3 linked regions of the Macaca mulatta genome follow. The protein of the gene in region 3 interacts with the protein of the main gene of each other region in a pairwise test. Links are inferred from orthologs where the notes say so. Each region holds a gene or a part of one and is shown on either strand. Other genes may lie near its edges.

The links. The genes of interacting proteins can lie anywhere in the genome.
Region 1: the proteins of DAB1 (region 3) and CLASRP interact in a two-hybrid assay, tested with the Homo sapiens proteins (2 studies listed by BioGRID and IntAct). The link is inferred for Macaca mulatta from reciprocal best matches to the Homo sapiens genes DAB1 and CLASRP.
Region 2: the proteins of DAB1 (region 3) and MBNL1 interact in binary tests that used the Homo sapiens proteins (3 or more experiments, as listed by UniProt). The link is inferred for Macaca mulatta from reciprocal best matches to the Homo sapiens genes DAB1 and MBNL1.

What each region holds. Positions count from the first base shown.
Region 1 is NC_133424.1:57,569,153-57,576,797, forward strand, and holds part of CLASRP (CLK4-associating serine/arginine rich protein), read left to right. Parts: intron 1-258; exon of another isoform or gene 259-557; intron 558-2,218; coding exon 2,219-2,303; intron 2,304-3,521; coding exon 3,522-3,670; intron 3,671-5,010; coding exon 5,011-5,107; intron 5,108-6,126; coding exon 6,127-6,205; intron 6,206-6,291; coding exon 6,292-6,365; intron 6,366-7,645. UniProt on the Homo sapiens protein: Probably functions as an alternative splicing regulator. May regulate the mRNA splicing of genes such as CLK1. May act by regulating members of the CLK kinase family.
Region 2 is NC_133407.1:55,586,018-55,593,662, reverse strand, and holds part of MBNL1 (muscleblind-like protein 1), read right to left. Parts: intron 3,534-7,645; coding exon 3,333-3,533; intron 1-3,332. UniProt on the Homo sapiens protein: Mediates pre-mRNA alternative splicing regulation. Acts either as activator or repressor of splicing on specific pre-mRNA targets. Inhibits cardiac troponin-T (TNNT2) pre-mRNA exon inclusion but induces insulin receptor (IR) pre-mRNA exon inclusion in muscle.
Region 3 is NC_133406.1:183,608,816-183,616,460, forward strand, and holds part of DAB1 (disabled homolog 1), read left to right. Parts: intron 1-5,259; coding exon 5,260-5,808; intron 5,809-7,645. UniProt on the Homo sapiens protein: Signaling adapter of the reelin-mediated signaling pathway, which regulates the migration and differentiation of postmitotic neurons during brain development.

The DNA of each region.
Region 1 (7,645 bases), on a different chromosome or scaffold from region 3:
TAAAAATTTTTATTTATTTATTTATTAGAGGCAGAGTTTCATTCTTGTTGCCCAGGCTAGAGTGCAGTGGTACGATCTCGGCTCACTGCAACCTCTGCCTCCTGGGTTCAAGTGATTCTCCTGCCTCAGCCTCCTAAGTAACTGGGATCACAAGTGCCTGCCATCACCCCCAGCTAATTTTTTGTAGTTTTAGTAGAGACAGGGTTTCACCATCTTGGCCAGGCTGGTCTTGAACTCCTGACTGTGTGATCCACCTACCACGGCCTCCCAAAGTGCTGGGATTACAGGCATGAGCCACCGCGCCTGGCCATCACCCCGTTTTACAGACAAGGATGTCGAGGGGGAACACCCTGTCCAAGGATCTGGGATTCTCCACGTGTCCTTAACCGCTGCTCTCTGCTGATGGAAAGCTCTTAACTCACCTACCAAGAATTAGAGATTCCCTTTCTTGGGGTTCCCTGTGGAGTTAAGGGAAGGATGGAGTTCTCTGCTGGGTTTGTGCCTTACTACCTGGTGGATCTCAGTTTCCTCTTCGAGAAGCGTGGTGGTGGTGATTTTGTCGCATGGGGTGGTTGTGAGAGTTGAGTGAGGTGATATGTATAAAACCCCAGCACTGAACCTGGCACAGTCAGCCCTCTATGTGGGTCTGCTGGTCTGGTATTTGTTTATTTCTAAGATAGATGCTTTTTTGATTTTCTAAAATCAGAGGCTGCCAAAATTCTAGTGATCACCGAGGCCTTAGAATCAGGGACATGCGGTATAATGGATACTGTTTTTGCCATCATTCCAGGCCACATAGATTCCTGGTGGTAGAGCCAGGGTTTCCTTAGTTTTGCCTCACTCTGCATTTATTCATTCACTTCCACAAACAGTCATTGAGCACATGCGGTGTGGCAGGTGCTACTCTGGGATCAGTGGCATGGTAGGGGAGAGGGCAGCAGCTCTATACTCATGTCAGTGACGCCAGTTGCAAACCAAGATAATGTGACAGACAGTGCACCATTCTCTGAGAAAAATAGGACAGAAGTCCTGGACCAAGGCTGGGGTCAGTGATGTATGGATAGAGGCTCCCTAGGAGGCACAGGTAGGCCACAGGATTCCAGGCCAAGAGCAGCCTGTGCAAAACCCTGTGTCAGCCAGGACTATGGGCACACTGGAGGGGCAAAGAGAAGGCCCGTGTGACCGGAGCAGGGAGAGCGAGGGAGCTTGTGCAAGGCAGGGTCAGCGGGGCCCCTCCTGGGCTTTGGAGACAACAAGTAGAAATGGAGTATCTGCTAGAGCAAGGAAGGGCCGTGCTACATCCCCTTCTGGCCCGCCAGCCCACCCACCTCTTGTTCCAGATAGAAAAACTCAGGCCAGCCGGGCACAGTGACTCATACCTCTAATTCCAGCACTTTTGGGAGGTCGAGGTGGTGGATCACCTGAGGTTGGGAGTTCGAGACCAGCCTGACCAACATGGAGAAACCCTATCTATACTAAAAATACAAAATTAGCTGGGTGTGGTGGCACATACCTGTAATCCCAGCTACTTGGGAGGCTCAGACAGGAGAATCGCTTGAACCCGGAAGGCAGAGGTTGCGGTGAGCAAGATCGCACCATTGCACTCCAGCCTGGGCTACAAGAACGAAACTCCATCTCAAAAAAAATACCGACAAAACTGAGGCCCAGGGAGGGAAGGAAGGAAGGGGACTCACCACCCACGGTCCCACAGCAAGTCAGGCACACATGTCTCACTGCAGGGAAGATCAGGAAGGCTCTGGTACATTGTTGAGTCCTCTAAGCTGGGTGTTAAAATGAGTCACGAAGAGGCTTGCAGTGGAGTGACCTGTGCAGTCAGTGGCGTGTGGCGCTCAGGAGCAGGTTTTGGTTCTGAAGGGTCCAGCCAGAGGCCTCCAGAAACAGTTAGAATGGTAGTAGAGTGTCCAAGTACCAGGCTAGGCACTCACTCTGCCTGTGGTCCCATTTTACAGAAAAGGAAACCGAGGCACAGATGTGCTGTCACTTGACCAAGGTCGTGTGTCCAGTGAGTGGTGTGTCCAAGGCTCTGCTGCAGTTGCTTGTGTCCCACCAGACACAGTTTGATTATCTGGAAGTGGCGATTGCCCCAAGGTGCACTGGGGTTGCACCTGTCTTCCTGCTTCACCGCACTCTGATGTTCTCCCACTGAATTCCTAGTGTCCCCAACCCACTCTGACCTGGAGTCTCTTGTTTGCTGCAGTCTCAGAGGAGCAGTGCCTGTACCAGATCTACATTGACGAGTTGTACGGAGGCCTCCAGAGACCCAGTGAAGATGAGAAGAAGAAGTGAGTTGGGGTCTGGGGTGCAGGGGGTTGAGGAGGCAGGAGGGCTGGGAGCCCCAGGCAGGCATGGCCTCTTCCATCCTGTCCACCAGGGTCTCCCCAGAACCAAGGATGGTGTTCAGCACACAGTCAGTGCTCACTTAATAACTGTGTAGAGGAAGAAGCCCTGTCAGGGTACCAGGGCTTGCCGACGGCTCTGCGTTGCATTTTCAGCTTGGGGAGTGGTGGGAGGTGCAGTCCCTGTGGTCAGACAGCTCTGGGTTTGAGTCCTGGCTGTGAGACCCTGAGTGGGAATTCTCTGAGCCTTGCTGTGCTTCCCTGTAAAATGGGGCTGGCAGGAGGCCCCGCTGCCTGGAGTTGGGAGGCATGCAGGAGACAGAGCTTGTGAAGTACCTGTCCTAGCACCTGCCGTGTAGTGAGCTTGCAATCAGCCCTCACTGATGTCACTCTGGAGAGAGGCTTCTCAAAGCTGCATCCCTCAAGGAGTGGCTGGGGAGACCTGAGCCTTATCCTGGAGCAGCTGCCTCTGAGGAGCAGCAGGCAGTCTCACTTCTCTCTTCTCCACCTCAGTCTGATGAGCACAGGCCCCTACCCTCACACATGCCGTTCCCTCTGCAGGGCTTAGCTCTCCTCCAGGCCAGCTGCTGTTGCCCTGGTGCACGGTAGACTGGAGCCCTGGCTCGGGACTGGGCGGCTCTCTCAGTGACACCTTCCCTCCTGCTCCCCCTGACTGCTTGCCGCCTTCCTCCACTGGGAGGGGTCCCATGGGACTGTCCTGGATGCTTCTTGGAGACTTCAGCCCTCGTCCACAGCCCCAGCCTCAGGGTCCTGCTCAGGCCCCTCAGGCACTGCTCTGTTCAGAGCAAAGCTGGGGCACCTGACTGCTCAGGAGGACTCTGGGCTGTGCCCTCGTGGGACTTACGGTCTGGCGGGAGACAGACCTTCCCCAACAGAGATGACCCAAGGAAGGCAGGGCTGGGGAGCTCAGGACAGTGCCGACCCACCATAGGTGCCAGTCAAGGACTTCTTGGCAGGTGGGGCCCTGGAGCTGAGATGTGGAGGAAGAGGGAGGAGCTGGGTGTGGGCAGGAGCAGAGGGACCTAGGCCGAGGGACAGCCTGAGGGGAGGGGGCCGTGGCACTCGAGAAGCTGGTGTGTGGGGCCAGCCTGGGGCCCTCCTCTCCGCCAGGCGCGGCCCTGGCTCAGCGGCTCCCCTTTCCAGGCTGGCAGAGAAGAAGGCTTCCATCGGTTATACCTACGAGGACAGCACGGTGGCTGAGGTGGAGAAGGCGGCAGAAAAGCCAGAGGAGGAGGAGTCAGCAGCCGAGGAGGAGAGCAACTCGGATGAAGATGAGGTCATCCCCGACATCGGTGGGGTCCCCTCTCTGCCCTCCCCACCCACAGTCCCTGGGCATCGTTTCTGTGTCTCGTCCCTCACCCTCTGTGGGGCACCCCGTGCTTACGAGCTGTGTCGCTCTCCCTCCCCCGCCCCAGGGCATGCCAGCCTCCTGCCACCCCTGTCTCACTCATCTCTCGTTTCTAGGGTGCTGTTTCTACGATCTTTTCCCCTCCTAGGTGTTGGCTCCATTCTTGTCCACTTGGGCCGGCCTCTCTGTGCCTCTGCCCCTCTCTCCTGCTCTCTTCCCTCCTCTGGAAAACAAGTGTTCATCCTCTTACAGAGCCAGCCCCCATCCTCCAGGCATCTGTTCACCCTCCCCCTCTCTGCCATTCACCTCCCCTCTGGATTCCCACTGGTCAAACCACCCCCGAGTCTCTCCGCTTTACTCATCCTGGCTCTCACTCCAGCAGCCGGCTCTTTTTATTTTTTTATGTATTATTTATTTTTTTGGGATGGAGTTCTGCTCTGTCACCCCGGCTGGAATGCAGTGGTGTGTTCTTGGCTCACTGTGACCTCCACCTCCTGGGTTCAAGCGATTCTCCTGCCTCAGCTTCCCAAGTAGTTGGGACTACAGGCACGTGCCACCATGCCCAGCTAATTTTTGTACTTTTAGCAGAGACAGGGTTTCGCTACATTGGTCAGGCTGGTCTTGAACTCCTGACCTCATGATCCACTTGCCTCGGCCACCCAAAGTGCTGGGATTACAGGCATGAGCCACTGCGCTCAGACAGCAGCCGGCTCTTTATTCACACTTTGCCACACATTGACCTCCGCCCAGCCCTCCTTCCGCTGGCTCATCACACGCCCTGCTTCCAAACACCTGTGACCCGTACCCTGCCTGCCACCCACCATGATCTTCAGCCGCCATCTGTCTGACCCTATTCAGTCCTCCCTCCCACGTCAACCCCGCCACACGTCTCATCCATTCCTCCCTCCCTCCATCCACCTTCCTTCCCTGCCTCTATTCCATTCATCCCTCCATCCCTCCTGCCCTCCAGCCCTCCCTGCATCCCTTCATCCGTCCCTCCACCCATTCATCCATCTCTCCCTTCTTCTTTCCCTCCCTCCGTTCATCTGCCCCTTCCAAGCCCCGTCCCCCAGCTGCCTCTGTCCACCGTGTGTTGCGCTCACCTCTGGCCAAGCCCAGTGCGAGCCTAGGGGATGCCAAGATGAGCCATACTTGATGCCATCCCTTCCTGAAGAGTGCTTCAGTCTGGCAGGCGCCCTATCACCCCCACCTCCTGGAGCACTGCCCCTTCTCCCCTGTCCTCTCGCTCGGCGGTGGCTCCTGACAGCCTTTCTCTTGGTGCAGACGTGGAGGTGGACGTGGATGAACTGAACCAGGAGCAGGTGGCAGATCTCAACAAACAGGCCACGACTTATGGCATGGCCGACGGCGACTTTGTCAGGTGAGGCCTGCCTGCTGACACTCCTCCCCATTCTGTGGGCCCCACCCTGGCATCTCACTGTTACTCCCCATACTGACAGCCATCCTGTTTGTGAGCATTTGTGTGCCTGACCCTGGGCCCAGGACTTTACACATGCAGGTCCCTGAGCCTATGGTGGTCGTGGCCCCACTTCATCTGTGCAGGAACAGGCTGCACCCAAATCACCCAGCCTGCCCTACTTAGTGTGACCTGGGGCGAATCTGACTCTTTGAAGCTCAGGGGATTCCTAGGCTGGGGGACAGCACCCTCTAGTGGAGAGGCCTCATTCCCTGGTCATTTATTCTGGCAGTTGCTGGTTGTACCTCTACCCTGAGCCATACCCCCTGCTGAGCTCATAAGACCACACAGAATGGTCCCAGCTCACTGGGCAGTGAACCCAAAGCAGAGCCTGAGCACGGCACCCTCTGCCCAGAGCCCTTTGTGGCTCCCACCTCCCTCAGGCACATCCAGTGTCCTCACCATGGCTGAAAGGTCTTACCCATCTGGTCCTCTTGACTGCCCCCATACCCCCTGCCCAGCCTCCATGGCCTCCTTGCTCCTCAAGTGCAGAGGCCTGGCCCAGCACCTGGGCCAGTCTGTCTGCTGTTCGCTTCGGGCGTCTGCAGCTTGCTCCCCCAGGTTTCTCTCTAGATACCCTGTTCTGTGTCGCTTCCCTGAGCTTCCTCTTGAAAAATGCAGCTTCCTCTGCCTTTGCTCTAACATCTAATGGACCATGCGTTTTATTCCCTTGCTCATTGTCTTCTCCCCTAGAATGTAAGCCCGTGCAGGTGAGGATTTCTGGTTTTTTTAGTGCTGAGTTCTTGATGCCTAAGATAGGACCTGGCACACAGAGGGTGCTTAATAAGTGGCACTGAATGAAAGACACCTCAGGCTGGTGTGGGGTGACTCGGGTCCCTCACTTTCTCTGATGACTCAGCCTGTGTCCTCCATGTCCTGTGGCGTGCCCCCTCCTCCACCCTAATTCTCACCCCCCTCTATAGGATGCTCCGGAAAGATAAGGAGGAGGCAGAGGCCATCAAGCACGCCAAGGCCCTTGAGGAGGAGAAGGCCATGTACTCGGTGAGGTCTGGGCTAGAGTGGAAGGCGACAGGGTTGTGTCACAGGGAGGGCACCCCGTCACCAGTCTGGCACCCACCCTACTCCAGGGACGCCGCTCTCGACGCCAGCGGAGAGAGTTTCGGGAGAAGCGGCTGAGGGGTCGCAAGATCAGCCCACCCAGGTAGGGCTTCTCCCTGAACCCCCACCCTGCTGGCATCTGGGGGAGGGGAGCGGGGGCTTAGGGCCTGAGAAGGCTCTTTGGAGGCAGGCATTTGACTTGAGGAAAGAGTCTTTCTAGTGGGGCGATGCATGGCCTGCGTGAAGGTTTAGAGGTAGGAACGGCCTTGAGGGCCATGTGGACTCCTTTCCTTGCCAGCCGCTCCCCTCACCCTGCTGGACTGGGGGCCCTTGCCAGACTCCCAGGAGCCCATGCACAGGCGGCATTAGGCTGTCACCAGGGCGGCGGAGGAATAGAGGGCACAGGCTTTGCCCTGGACTCTCACTCAGTTCTGCTGCTTGGCTGTTTCCTGTGTTGGAGTTTGGACAAGTGACTACCTGAACCCTCTGAGCTTCAGTTTCTTCCTTTGGAAAATGAAGCATTATCACCTACCATGAGAGAGGGCTGGGGCAGTCCCCACAGGGAGGTCTTGGGACAGGTTTGGATGAGGCAGTCTGGCTTGGAGCAGAGAGCCCAGCCTGGGTCAGGAGGCCTTGAGGAGAGGCCCGGTGCAAACCCATGCCTCTTTTTGCCACATCTCTTAAAGGAGAGTGATTGAGAGTTCCTGTAAGGCTTAAACGACTTGTAGGTTCAGGGGTTGGTGTGCGAAATATTCCTTAAAGAATAGCACCAGTTGTCACTGCTGTCAGTGGTGGCACAGAGGCACATAGAGGGTAGTGCAGGAAAGCCCAGGCTGGGTGGCTATAGGGCCTGGGTGTGGATCCCCGTTTCCTCCTTTATGAGCTGCATGATGCTGGACAAGTGACTTCACCTCTCTGGGCTTCAGTTTCCTCAGCTGTGATAGTCTTTCTCTTCTTTTTTTTTTCCAGAGACAGGGTCTTGTTCCGTCACCCAGGCTGGAGTGCAGTGGTGCAATCACGACTTACTGCAGCCTCAAATTCCTAGGCTCAGGCGAGCCTCCTACCTCAGTCTCCTTAGTAGCTGAGATTACTGGCATGCATCACCACTCCCAGCTAATTAAAATAAAATATGCTTTGTAGAGATGGGGTCTTGCTGTGTTGCCCAGGCTGGTCTCAAACTCCTGGGTTCAAGTGATCCTCCCACTTCAGCCTCTCAAAGTGCTGGGATTACAGGTGTGAGCCACCGCACCCAGCCTGTTTTTGTCTTATCATCATCATCATTGGTAAACCCAGACCCAGTGAGAGCCAGAGACGAGGATTGGGAGGAGGGATGCTTTCATTCTAGGGTCAGGAGGCCAAGCAGAACCAGGGTTGCTGAAGTCC
Region 2 (7,645 bases), on a different chromosome or scaffold from region 3:
ATTATGCATTAAGAACTCAGGGTTTGCTTTAGAAAGGTTGGGGGAATAAAACTGCTTCACATGCTGAGCATCCAATAATTTCAGATATTTAAAAAAAATTTAAGTTTCCTCTTAATCCATCTGCAAACAGCAATAGTTAATTAATAAGCAATACAGTTGTGTAACGACAAATCACTCAAAAATCCAGGTGTATCAGGTGTATCTCCCTAGCAAGAACAAGTTGCTTCACATCTCTTCCCCTAAAATCATTTCCCTGTAAAACAGAATTAATAATAGTGTCTTCCTGATAAGATTGTTTTGAGCATTAAAGCTCTGATGCATGTGTCTGGTATATGATTGTCAATACGCTAAAATTTCAGAGCCTTTGTAATGTATGCAACAAAAGTTAATAAATAATAAATCAGCTTATTAACTAAATTCCTGCTAAACTGACAAATTATTTGAGTCAATTATGTTCATATAACAGCCTCATTTTGCCACTTTCTCAGTAAAATTTATTAGCACTAAGTATTGCCTCATCTTCAGGAGGAGGAAATAAAAGGCATCCAAATAGGAAGAGAGGAAGTCAAATTATCCCTGTTGGCAGACAAGTTGTTTCTTTATCTAGAAAACCCCATAGTCTCTGCCCAAAAGCTCCTTGATCTGATAAACAACTTCAGCAAAGTTGTAGGATACAAAATCAATGTATAAAAATGAGTAGCATTCCCATAAACCAACAACATCCAAGCAGACAGCCAAATCAGGAGTGCATTCCCATTCACAATTGCCACAAAAAGAATAAAATACTTAGGAATAACAGTTAAGCAGGGAGGTGAAAGCTCTCTAAAATGAGAATGACAAAACATCCCTCAAAGAAATCGTGGATGACACGTAACAAATTGAAAAACTTTCCATGCTCATGGATAGGAAGAATCCATAACATTAAAATGGCCATACTGTTCAATGCAAGTTATACATTCCATGTTATTCCTTGTCAAACTACCAATGACATTCTTCACAGAATTAGAAAAAAAAAAAACTACTTAAAAATTCATATGAAATAAAAAAAGAGCTTGAACGGCCAATAGCCAATACAATCTTAAGCAAAAGTAACAAAGCTGGAGGCATCACATTACCTGACTTCAAACTATAGTACAAGGCTACAGTAAACAAAACAAGGTACTGGTACAAAAAAAGACACACAGACCAATGGAACAGAATAGAGAGCCTAGAAATAATGCAGCACACCTATAACTATTTGATCTCCAACAAAGCTGACAATAACAAGCAATGAGGAAAGGACTCCCTGTTCAATAAATGGTGCCAGGATAACTGGCTAGCTATACACAGAAGATTGAAACTGAACCCCTTCTTTACACCATATACAAAAATCAACTCAAGACGGATTAAAGGCTTAAGTGTAAAACCCCAAACTATAAAACCCCTGAAAGGTAACATAGGAAATACCATTCTTGACACAGGACCTGGCAAAGATTTCATGACAAACATGCCAAAAGCAATCGCAACAAAAATAAAAATGGAAAAATGGTATCTAATTAAACTAAAGAGCTTCTACACAGCAAAAGAAACTATCAACGGAATAAACAGCCTACAGAATGGGAGAAAATATTTACAAACTATGTATTCCACAAAGGTCTAATATCTAGAATCTGTAAGAAACTTAAATTTATGAGCAAAAAACAACCCTATTACAAAGTGGGTGAAGGACATAAACAGATGCTTTTCAAAGAAAGATACACAAGTGGCCAATAAGTATATGAAAAATGTCCATTATCACTAATATTAGAGAAATGCAAATCAAAACCACCAGATACCATCTCACGCCAGTTAAAATGTCTATTATTAAAAACTCAGAAAATAATGAATGTTGGTAAGGTTGCAAAGAAATAGAAACAATTATACACTGCTGGTGGGAGTGCAAATTAATTCAACCGTTGTGGAAAACAGTGTGGCAATTCCTCAAAGACCTAAAAACAGAAATCATTTGACCCAGTAATCCCATTACTGGGTATTTACCCAAGGAATATAAATCGTTCTACCATAAAGACACACATGTGTATATTCACTGCAGCACTATTCACAACAGCAAAAACATGGAATCAACCTAAGTGTCCATCAATGGTAGCCTGGATAAAGAAAATGTGGTATATATACACTGTGGAATACTATGCAGACATAAAAAAGAATGAGATCACGTCCTTTGCAGCAACATAGATTGAGCTGGAGGCCATTATCTGAAGCAAACTAATACAGAAACAGGAAACCACATACCACATGTTCTCACTTGTAAGTGGGGGCTAAATGATGAGACCTCATGGACACAAAGAGGGAAACAGCAGATGTTAGGGCCTATTTGAGGGTGGTTGGTGGGAGGGGGGAGAGGATCAGAAAAAAATACCTATTGGGTATTGTGCTTATTACCTGGGTGATGAAATAATCTCTACACCAAACCCCAATGGTATAAAGTTTACCTATATAAAAACCTGCACATGTACCCCTGAACCTAAAATGTAAGTTAAAAAAATATATCACCTCATCCTCACCAGGGAAAAGAGGAAAAAGTCATTTTATTCTTTAGGTGGGTTCAATGACAGGTTTGTATCTTCAATGTACATTTGATGCTGTCACTTTTTCTCTACATCTATAATTTACCAAATTCATTAATTCACAGTCATGTTGAAATTCTGAACAACGACATTGAAGTAAGATTTATAACTTTAATATCTTTTTCATGTACCAACAGCGGAGCCCACGCATCTGATCATCCTTTACTCTAGAACTTAAGAGGATTATGCAAAAAACTTTTATGAAAGCACACTTCATAAACAAAGTTTCCTTTCTACTTCAACCAAAATATTGTACAGCTTATGAGAAAACTTGCAATAATAAATTGTAAAATGTTTTACAGACACTAATATTTGTAAATCTTTATGAGAACAATTTTTAGGTGATTGATAACGTTTGTTATTCTTGATAGTTGCAACAACAACAAACACTCAGGAGGCATTTGCTTATGTGCCAGATATTCCCCTCTTTGAGGTAAGTGCCGTTTTAAAGATGAGGAAATTGAGGTACAGTGATATAACCAGGCAATCTGACTTTAGGGTCCAACTTCTTATCCACTATTCTAAACATGGATGTTGTAGCCTTTATAAACATTACATTAATCAAATACAGCATATCTATACTCTAGTAAAATGTTCCAAACCCTAAGCCAAAATCTCTGTTTTAAAATTTTTACAACTTTTTGGCCATGGAAACACAAACAAACAAAAAAATACACTTGGAGAATTAGAATGTATTACATAAAGACACCAACTAGTCATTCCTACCTCAAGTCTGTCTGTTCGCATTAATTTCTGTGCAGCAGCTGCAGCAGCTGCAGGTACAGGGACACCCGGATTCCCTGTAACCAACATTGGTGCAGTCGGCAAGATCTCTGCTGGGACCAGGCTTGGAGAAACAGGTCCCAGATAGGGATTAAAGGCTGCTGATGCATTGGTGGCTAAGCTTGGTGCAACTGAAAACATTGGCTGAAAAATAAAATAAAAGCAAAATTTAACAAGCAGGTCTCAGCTCAAAGTTGATTATTCTTAATTATACATTTGTCCTCCATCCATCTATCAACTCTTCCTTCCTTCCCTTCTTCCCTTTAATCCTGTGTTCATTTACCATTTGTCCTCCATCCATCTATCCATTCTTCCTCCCTTGCCTTCTTCCCTTTAATCCTGTGTTCATTTACTATCATTTAGGGTAAGGCTGTTTTATTAAATAAGCACTCATCAAATCAATGTTTTTCTAAAATATAACAGGTAAAATATCCATTAAATTATTCACTGGAATTTTGAACCTGGGGGGTCTATAATACTTGTAATTTTTTTTTTTTTTTTTGAAAAATAGATAAACTAGGCAGAAACTCCTTGTGGTCACCTAATCTTCATCTTTGCCCTGACTTAATTCTAGATATTTGTCTAAGAAATACATTTTGTAATTGCTATGTCAGATGTACTTGAAAGACCTGTTTACCACTGTTAATAGGTTGCAAGTGTCCTATGATCCGGAATAAATACAGTAGAACTCCCAGGGGATAAAAGAGTTTCACAGTCAATGTAAGCTGTAAATAAATCTCATGGGTTTGGGAAAGGTGATGATGACACCTTGTCTTCTGAGCACATAAGATAAAGTGTTTGGTATACTTACTTGATGGTGATTTTTCTGGGGGAAATTATAAATGTTCCACTAGTCTATCATACCTTACTAAGGGAAAACACGTCTAAAATGTGAAGTCTGAAGTAGAACTGCTACTAAGGAAATGCTACATGATTAGTCAAGGAAATACATATGGCAGAACTGAATAAACTGCTACAAGACAGAATTTCTTCCAGAAATGCTTTCATGGATACACAAGGATTGTTTCTATTTGTTGATATGCAAACTTGCATATCATAAAATATATTTGTTCTTGAATAGCATTAATTTACCTGAAATCTAACGATTTGTTTTTCTAGTGTTTAAAGTATAACAGAACACAAACAATTTCATATCTTATGGATAGTACATTTTTAACTTCCTAACAGACTCTCAATTCTAGTTCTCGAAGTTTAATGCTTCATGTAATAATGCTTGTTTCTGAAAAACAAAAGCTTGTAGGCAAAACGGATGCTGTTCTTTAAGGTAATTTTTTTTTTTTTTTTTTTTTTTGAGACGGAGCCTTGCTCTGTTGCCCCAGCTAGAGTGCAGTGGTGCAATCTTGGCTCACTGCAAGCTCCACCTCCCGGGTTCATGCCATTCTCCTGCCTCAGCCTCCCTAGTAGCTGGGACTACCCGCCACCATGCCTGGCTAATTTTTTGTATTTTTAGTAGAGACGGGGTTTCATCATGTTAGCCAGGATGGTCTCAATCTCCTGACCTCATGATCCGCCCACTTCGGCCTCCCAAAGTGCTGAGATTACAGGCCTGAGCCACCGAGCCCAGCCTCTTTAAGGTAATATTTAACAATTTATTTTCTTTACTCAGTAGTAATGAACAGAATTACAGAACATTTTTTAGAATAAAAGAGACATTATAATGTATTAATAACTAATTCTGCCATCTGATAGGAATAAGAAGTTACATGGTCCCTGAATATATGTAGCATTCAAGAGAGCTTTGTAGCAAAACTTTTTGCAATATAAGGCATACATTACAAATGTAATTCTTATAGTACAAAAGAAATACGTTAAAAAGTAAAACATATCCTTTATTCACTCTGGCCCTGACTGATTCTATATTTAGAAAAATAAAATGAATTTCAAGTGTTCCCTTTTTCTTAGGGCAGTGGTTTTCAACCGAGTTGTTTTGCCTCTCAGGAGACACCTGGCAATGTCTAAAGACATTTTTGGTTATCACAGCTGGAGGGGAACTATTGCATATAACGGATGGAAGCCAGGGATGCTGCTAAGTGTTCTACAACATATAAGACAGCCCCTCGCAACAAAGAATTATCCAGCCCCGAAAGTCAATACTGTCAATGTTAAGAAGGCCTTTCTTAGGGAACTCTTCTGTTGACCTCAAAACTTGCTTGGGAAGCACTCTTTGCATTTAGCTATACATTTTTACTAACAAAAATATGAAAAACCAAAATATGCAATACCTAATGTGATTCACTGAGAAGAAACAATACAATATAGATTATACCATTTCAACTTAAAATTATTATGCCTCTGAACACGTTGGTTTGAATGCCATGTTTAGCTACTCTGCCAGGTCGATGGCTCTTGCCTGATGAAGTGGTCTCAAGTAGCACCTCTAATCCCCAACCCCTCCCAGCACAAAGCAGCAACCTGCAGACAACAAGAACTATCTGTGCATTCCAGATTTTAACAATCAACAAGCTGTCAGAAACTAGGGCCCAGGGCAGTCTCTGTCCACCAACACTTCCCGGAGCCACAGCTGACTTAATGCTGCGCCACTGTCCATTCTCTGTCCAGGTGGCAGCAGGACAAGGATTGATTGTATAGTGAATATATGTTGAACTTGGATTTCTATTCAAGGATATTCAGGTTAAACTTGTACTTTGTTATACATTGTCAGATTGCATATGAAAATCCAGCCAGACCAGCACCCTAATTTCTATATTAGTCATTTAAGAATTACAAGAAATTTAGCATAGAAGACTAAAAGAGTCTATGTCAGGGGACTAACAGACTAGTTCAGCAAATGGACAACAGAAGCTACTCATTATCATTCCTCTTTGCATTCTTTTACTATGAATAAACATGTATTTCCAGATAGTGCATTTTTAATGTATACTTCAGAAAGTTACTGAGATGTTTATGTTACTGTACATAATCTACTATAATTATTTAAAAGCAAAGGACAAATTTAAAAATGTTTTTGGAAGAAAAAGCATTTTTATTTTAATAAAATGCGACCAGAGGCTAATAAAACTCAGCTCTCTTAAATCTCATCAAATAAAATACACTGGAAATCTAAAAATGCATATAATGCAGCTGTTGCACACTACAGGCAGAATCATACTTTTATTATGTAAAAATACTGCTTTAATAACTGGCAATAATCTTTCCTGAGTTGTTTCTATAGAGTCAGCAAGAGAATTGATCTTTTGCTTTAATTCAGCAGAGCAAATTCAAATCTGTACAATTTTAGGGCACTGTCCCCAAGTAAAGTCTGTAGGAGCTTTTAAAAATGTGAAACATCAACTATTCAGCAAGCATTATCTCAAATTGTTCCCTCTTTCGATAAGCAGAGCTATTTGCTGAATAGGCAGACAATCAATAACTAGCTTTATACTTTGAAACTTGATTCCAAAAGACAGACAGACAGACACACACACACACACACACACACACACACACGCAACATTCCTTCATTTATTTTAAATTTTTGTAAGTTTGTTACATCACTTTAGTCATACTGTTTTTTCAAAGAGTGCCATGTTGAAGATAGGTCACTGCTAGCCCCATCAGAGAGTGCCCTAATCAGATTAGGAAAGCACTTGACCTGCACTACTGCCAGTTTTCTATTCCAAAAGCTATCCTGCAGGAGGTTCAGCAGAATCTCAAAGACAGGTATTAATGCAATGTTGTTATCAAGTGGCATCCTGTTCTCTCTCTGAAGGATAACATATAACTATGTAATTGGTATATTTGATACTGACTATATTCTTGTGATAATGATTTGTAGGTATCTCTGTTCCTGGAAGACATAAGAAAGTTTGGTTTATAATTGCCTTTTGCCAACGAACACCCTCACCAGAGAAAAACAAAGTACAAACTTACTAATTCTGGTGCTGCTTATGGGTTAATCACTTGTTTGTTTTAAATCGGACATTGATTCCATTAAGGTAATCACACTTCATTATAAATCAAAGTGTTAATGTCATATTGTGACCCTAGTTAGCTATGCAAACATGATTATTAGTAGTAATTCCCTATTTATTGTGTGTCAGCATCATGCTGAGTGCTTTATCTGTGCTATTTATTGTATTTAATCCTTACAACAGTAGAGTATAAATTCCCTTGGTAATTTTTTTTTCTGTTGTGTTTTTTGAGGGGTAGAGATCAGGAGAGATCTGTTTAGTTCCCTATGGTCTATATAGATTATGTGTCTATAGACACAAATGAGTGAATCGAAGGCCTAGGAT
Region 3 (7,645 bases):
AGTGTAGAATATACTGTATCATTATGATTATTCTGATTTCTACAGTGGATGAATATATGTCCTGTTCCACCTATATTTTTTCCTTTTCCTGGAAATTAGTGCCTGTAATAAAGTTTAGGTCTTCAACCTCTTGACTGCTCATAGCAGACAGCAGGAGAATGGGTGGCCTGGAGAATGTACTATGTATGAATACAGGCTCTGCTGCTAGCCAACTGCATCATACTCAGATAAATATCTTCTGAACCTCAGGAAACTTATCCCATTTTAATGTGGATGATCATAATTCTACCTCATAGAGTTTTTCTAAGGATTGCATGAGTAAATGCAGGTTGTAAAATATGTACAGCAGTTCCTGGCAGTGCTTCCATCAGTAAGCACTCAACAGATGTTTGCTACATGGTTCTTCGGGAGCCTTGGATCTGCTATTCATACAGTGTGTAGCTGCATCAAATCTTCCCCTCATGGAGTTGCAATTTCTCCTCTACAAATTAAAGAGATAGCAATCACACTCACCCCAGAGGCTTGTGGAAAGGATCAACTTCACAAAAATGTCAGCTCCACAGGGTGAGAATGTTTTTGGTTTTTTTTGATGACTGTTTTGTTCTTTGTTTTGTCTCCACATACTAAAGCAGTGATTGGCACCTAGTAGAGGTAGTTTTGAATGAATGAATCCATCAAGTGAGATACTGTGGATAAGAGATATCATACAAGTTCTGCATAAATGTTGGAGGAGTTCCTTCATTTTTAGTGCTTTTCTTATATTTCAGTCTGCCTTTTTTTTTCTTTTTTCAAATAATGGGGGTATCCCCAGGTGTCAGCATCTGGCTATAAATCACAATTTTCAACACTTTTTAAAAACCTAACTGTAAGGCAGCAAGGCAGGTGTTCCCTTTCACTCCACAGCAAGATTTATGATTGCTCTGAACTTCATGGCATAAACAGATGCTCCTTGGCACCTCCTCCCTCCACTACTGGACATTAATAGTAAACAGTTAACAAGCTGTTAAGTGGCTGCAGTGGCAACCCCCACGTGGCTCCCTGTGTCCAGTGCCACCACTGTCCTGCTGCTGGTGTGTCCTTTCGCTCATGCACAAGATCATGTGGCCAGACAGCCTTAACTCACCGGCCAAGGAGAGCCGGGCTGCAGGGACCCCCTAGGAAAAGTGAGTGGGACCTGCAAGCTCCTAAGCATGATACCCAATTACCCTGTGCTACCTTTTTTTCTTTTGAATATTGTACTTTGGTCTGGAGCAGATGGCATGAAGCCAGAGAGACATGCTAATAGCTCTCTCCAGAAAAGTGTGCACAGCCCATCTGTTAGCTCCTTGTGGAAAAAAAAAAACAAAAGATGGGAGGGGAAAAAAACCTGCCACCAACAGTAGAATCATCAGAGATCACAGCATTTATGCATTGTGGGTTTAATTAGACACCGGGAAAAATGCAGTGAGCGTATTGACTAGGACTTGTTCATCTTTATGTAGGGCCTTTCTCCCGTCCCAAACCATGCTAGGCAGAGTGGAGAGAGAGAGAGAATAAAGAGTTCCTGCCAACAGGTGGTTTCTAGTCTCATCAGGGAAGATAGAATAACCAGGCAATTACAATGCAGTGTGACAAATGTCATGATACAGGTGAGCACAGAGGACTGTGCAAGCCCAGAGAAGGACCAGTGGAGCTGACAGGAGCAAGAAGCCATCCAGCAGAGGTGATAGTGAGCCGAGTCTCCAAGAGCAAATCAGGGTTAGACATGCACAGAAGCAGCGGGATGGCTTTCCAGGCAGATGGGCCAGCAGAGACAAGAGACAGCACGTTGGGTTTTGTTTGCAACTGCTGAAGGGCAAGGTGCAGTGAGGATATGAATTGAAGATAGTGATGAAGAGGTGGAAGGGGCTGACCTCCAAGGACGCATAGCCAAGCTAAGACATGTGAGCCTTATACTAAAGACAGTGAAGTACCATATATGCATTTTAAAACAGTCGTTCCTGGCAACGAGGAGGGTGGAATAAAAGCAAAGCCAAAAATAGGCTTGATGTCAAGAGAGTGAAAACATCCCCTCATTCACCAAAATGGGCAGCAGGTCTTGGGTGATTGAATCCGTGGGTACTTCTCCACCTGCAGACCCAGCACCCCCTTCTTACTACAAATATTTACAATACCTCCTTTCATACCTTGAAATGAATTTCATAGATAAGGTAGTCTAGCTACACAATTTTTCAAAATGAATATAATTCTCTAATATAAGGCAGAAAGGAAAGAGAATTTGTAAGAAAAATGTATGTATTTAAATAAGGAAATACTCAGGCATGAGCACACTAGAAGGCATAACAGTCAGATGTATACACCTATAAGTAGAATCACTATCGAAAGCCACAGCTATAAGTCCAGACTGATACAGAAGTGTCATGTGGCTATACCACCATGAGAAGCGTTTCTGTCAGGGATGTCAGGGACTGCCATTTTCCAAAATAGTCAACACCTTTTGACAGTGTTCCAAACCAAAAATACAGTCTTCCCTCCCGTGCACAGTTGTTGAATTCCTGGAAAATTAAATGCATTAAAATCAAGTGCAAAGATAACTTTGAATTCCCGTGTAATTCAAAGTCGATTCTGGGTGCAAATGATCATAAACAGGATGTGGAATAATGCTTTGTCATACGCATTGGTCTCACACATAGTGAGATGTCTACTGTCAATGCTTGGGTCTCCTAAATGCCAGTAGTGTAACCCCCTCCACTTGTGACAACCAAAACACGTCCCACCAATTTTCTAGCCACCCCTAGGGGGCAGTAGTACTCCCACTGAGAACCACTGGGACATATCAAAGTAAATCGGAAAACAAGACTGAGTTGCAGGATTCTTCATCTGTTGGTAGATTTAAGTCACTACATTATCATGCCATGGGTGAGGCAAGCTAAGCAAGCTTCACGTTTGAAGTTTCAGCTCCAGGGCCTCTTCATCCCTCTTGCTTCAGTGCAGTTGGACAAAGTAGTCTTATAAGATATTCTCCATTTTTTTTGTTGACATCCTTGTCTCATTCCGCAGAAGTATTTAACACTGCGAGATTAATCAGCAAGAAGCACAGGTGTCCTATTGGTGCCTTTCTGGAGCCTGCTGTTAGGGAAGCATGGCATGAGAGGAAACGGGCACCTTGCAAGGAAAATCACCAGGCCTTGAATGTTGGCTCTAGCCTGTATCAGTCAGTTGAAGGCAGGTATATCTGTGACTGGAGTATGGAGTGAGACACCCTGCGTTCCATCTCTCTGGGCTCACAAGAGTCAGTGAGATGACTCATAATGTCATCAATGCCATAACGCCCACCCATTGTCCCTTTGGAAGTTGCTAGGATACTCTGCCTCCATTCCTCTTTTTTTCCTGGTCTCATTACACTGCATCGGTATCTTCCTACTGACAGCCATGGAAAGGCTTGTTTTGAGAGGCCCAGGCAAAGCTGGCTTCTCTATTCTCTGCTCTGCCCAGCCTGGGAACTTGTCTCTCAGGCTCAACTGCACATAGAGGTGGCCATTGTGCCCCCTGAGAAGGGTGGGGACCCCTGGAAGCACATGTGAATTTCCTGCAGGCCTGCAGTATCCAAATACAATCAAATAGTAGGCAAGGTCTATTAACTGCAAAGATCGGAAATTGGTCTTGGCCATCTGGGTGAGGCAGTGTGTGGCACAAAGGAAGGAACCCTGGCTTTGGGGGAACAGACAACCTCAGTTTGATCCTGCTCCTACCTCATGCAACCTGTATGACCCTGAGCAAGTTGCTTTTCCTTGAGCACCAATTTCTTCATCCCTAAAATAGAGATAACAATACCTACCCTGCCGGAATTTCGTGAAGACGCAAAACACATACTAGTGTATCTGGCATGTTGTAGGCATTTAATAAGTGGAGCTTGTTGCTGTTACTGCTATGTTACTATTATTATTGTAACACGTGTCACTTGTGCTCCTGTTAAAATGTATATGTCTTACCTAAAAAGAATAATACAGTGAACAATTATCATGGTAATACACATGAGTACAGGCTATGGGGTTTTGCAGTGTGTAACTTATACTGATGTATGAGGTGCCCCTGAGTGGACAATAACCTTCTTTTTTTTTTTTTTTTTTTTTTGAGACAAGTGTCTCACTCTGTTACCCAAGCTGGAGTGCAGTGGTATAATCACAGCTCAGTGCTGCTTCAAACTTTTGGGCTCAAGTGATCCTCCCGCCTCAGCCTCCTGAGTGCTGAGACAATGGGACTCTGAGCATGTGCCACCATTCCTCACTACTTTTTAAAAATTTTTGGTAGAGATGAGGCCTTGCTGTGTTACTAAGTCTGATCTCAAACTCTGAGCCTCAAGCAATCCTCCCACCTGGACCTCCCAAAGTGTTAGGATTACAAGCATAAGCCACCACATCTGGCCCTATTTTTTTAATTCTCCAAAATTGGAATAATAATAATACAGAAATCATGCATAATACCTCTAGCTGCCATTTATTACATGTCTTTTGTATATCAAGCAATGTAATAAGTAACTCTCTAGCCTCTATCTAATCCAAACCATACTAGTAACTAACATTTACTGAATGTTGATCCTGTGTCCGGTACAATACTCCACATTTTAAATATGTACTCTCAATTAATCTTCAAATCAACCTAGCAAGGTAGAAGGTGTTTATACCCATTTTACAAATAAGGTCATAGAGCCTTAGAGAGATTTAAGAACTACTCCCCAAATTACACAGTTAAGAGGTGGCTGTTTGAATTTTAACCTAGGTCTCTAAAACTCCAACATTCAGATTATTACTCACTTTGCACACTGCCTCAGGCCTGCGAAGGACGGTATTATAACCTGGTTTTACAACAAAGAGTCAGACTCTTAAAGAGCTTACGCAATTGAGAGGGTCCTAAGTGCAGCAGGAAGAGGAGGCAAGGAGAAAACCCAGGACGGCCTGCCTTCCGTCCTTCTGCCCTGTCCCTGAGACACACAGCTTCTGAGGCTATGAGACTTTAGAAACTTCTAACAACTACAGAAATGTGATTATTAGCATTCTAGTTTTTGCTTACAGATCATCTCCTCAGAGAGGCTTTCCCTGACCACTTCTCTAGGATATAGGCTCCAAGACAGCAAGGACTTTTGTCTTGTTCATCTTGGCATCCCCAGTCCCTGGCACACAGTCTGGCACTTAGTTGGTGCTTGATACATTTCTGTCAATTACCTGAGTCCATGCATCCTTCTTTCTCAGGACACCTGACTCTTCTTTTTCATTCTCCCAGGTTACGTTGCAATGGGCGCTGTCCTCCCGTCCTTCTGGGGCCAGCAGCCCCTCGTCCAACAGCAGATGGTCATGGGTGCCCAGCCACCAGTCGCTCAGGTGATGCCGGGGGCTCAGCCCATCGCATGGGGCCAGCCGGGTCTCTTCCCTGCCACTCAGCAGCCCTGGCCAACTGTGGCCGGGCAGTTTCCGCCAGCCGCCTTCATGCCCACACAAACTGTTATGCCTTTGCCAGCTGCCATGTTCCAAGGTCCCCTCACCCCCCTTGCCACCGTCCCAGGCACGAGTGACTCCACCAGGTCAAGTCCACAGACCGACAAGCCCAGGCAGAAAATGGGGAAAGAAACATTTAAGGATTTCCAGATGGCCCAGCCTCCACCCGTGCCCTCCCGCAAACCCGACCAGCCCTCCCTCACCTGTACCTCAGAGGCCTTCTCCAGTTACTTCAACAAAGTCGGGGTGGCACAGGATACAGACGACTGTGATGACTTTGACATCTCCCAGTTGAATTTGACCCCTGTGACTTCTACCACACCATCGACCAACTCACGTGAGTGCCCCTCACTTAAGACATAAAACCCAATGAGAGCCATAACTTATGTCTGGAGGTAGGGTTTCAGGGGTCAGATAACTCATCTCGCTTGCATTAATCAGGCTTCTTTGTTTATATTACTATTACTACTATTGCTACTATTACTACTACTATTACTACTAAGAGCTACAAATATAGGTACCACTGATAACATACAAACCTTCTTCATATGTTCCATGTTTATTTTTAGACTTATAATAATGCTTAATGACAAATTTTGTTAGACCTGTTTGATGGATAATGAAAGTGAGGCTCAAGGTTGAAGACAATAGACAAAGTGGTATTGAACTGAACGTAAGCCTAGTATTTTTCCACCGTATTACTCTGCTTCTTAAGATTTTGTTAGTTTACTCATGCATTCGTTCATTTATTTATGTATAGCCAGCTTATGACACATAGATTTTGGTGTGGTTTCTTGAAATAAAAGTGAATGCAAACTTTAAAAATTTGGGGAACAAGTTTTAAACATTAGAATATAAAATAAGGATCAAGAGAAAACTTAGGGCAGAGACACAGCAGCCGTAAGGTCTTAAATAGCTTTTATAGCTGAAGCCTCATTTTGGCTTAAAGCTTCTGGTAGTTAAAGAGAACAAAAAGATGGTGCTGCAGAAAGTACTGGACTGGAAACCTGGAGATCAGATTTATTAGTGACCAGTTTTGTACCTTTGGGCAAGGCACTTTATTTCTATGAGCCTCGGTTTCCTCATCTGTATGAGGGATGGGTTATTAAAAGGATTCAATGGTATATATACTCAAACATTATAGACCTCCCAGAATTTGAAGTATCTTTTATCCTCAGTATTAACACATGTTAAGTGGTTTTGTGCAGTGCTGGACCCCAGTTCTAGTGTTGACTCCTCTACCACAAGCTGTGTCTTTGGGCAAGCGTGTGACTTCTCTGAGACTCAGTTTTATCATTGGTAAAATAAGTGAATTGACTTGGATGAGCAGTGTGCATCCATCTAGTTCCAGCTTTCAGTGAGTCTCCTCCAGCCCACATTTTTTCTGCAAACATCTGGAAAACAGTGACTGTGCAGCCAAATCAGAATCCAGATACACTTGAGCATGTGTACGCTTGTTTGACATAATTCAGGGAGGGTGTTCTGGTGACTCAGCCTGTGCCTTGACACCTGATAAGAGGAAAGAAAAGGTTCATGCTACAGTGAGTTTGGTGGTTTCATTACTGTCACAGGTGATATGGATCACTGCATGGCCAGTACTGTGAACTGTCAAAAAAACCCCACAATGTTAATACAATTAGATTGTGTCATTTCAGCCAGGTTCAGAATGCTATTCTGAAAATGAATGCCCTCGGTGTGTATAAACAACCCACTTGCACTCAGGCCATATGATCTACATAGTGGCGGCATCTCTATTTACACAGACTCACAGGGTTTCAATGAGGAATAATGAATAAAAAACGAAATGTTAAAGAAATGACAGCCATGCATAAATAAGCAAGCATCTTTTTAAAAACAGACATCTCTCTTTCAATGGACTTATGTGCCAGCTACAAATGAAAGAGGAGAGTTTAAGTTCTTTGAGGGCAGGAACTGTCTCCATTACTCCTATACTTCTCATAATGCTAGCTTAGTGCCTGGCACATGAGAGGCATTTGGGAAAGGTTATAGAGAATGAAATAAACTAAATGGAGATCACTTAGCTACTGTTGTGTTTTAGAGCATTGTTGGCAACCTTGGCACTATTGATATGTTGAACCAGATAATTCTTTGTTTCAGAGGCTGTCCCATTATAGGATGTTTAGCAGCCCTGGCCTCTAATCACTCTATGAGAG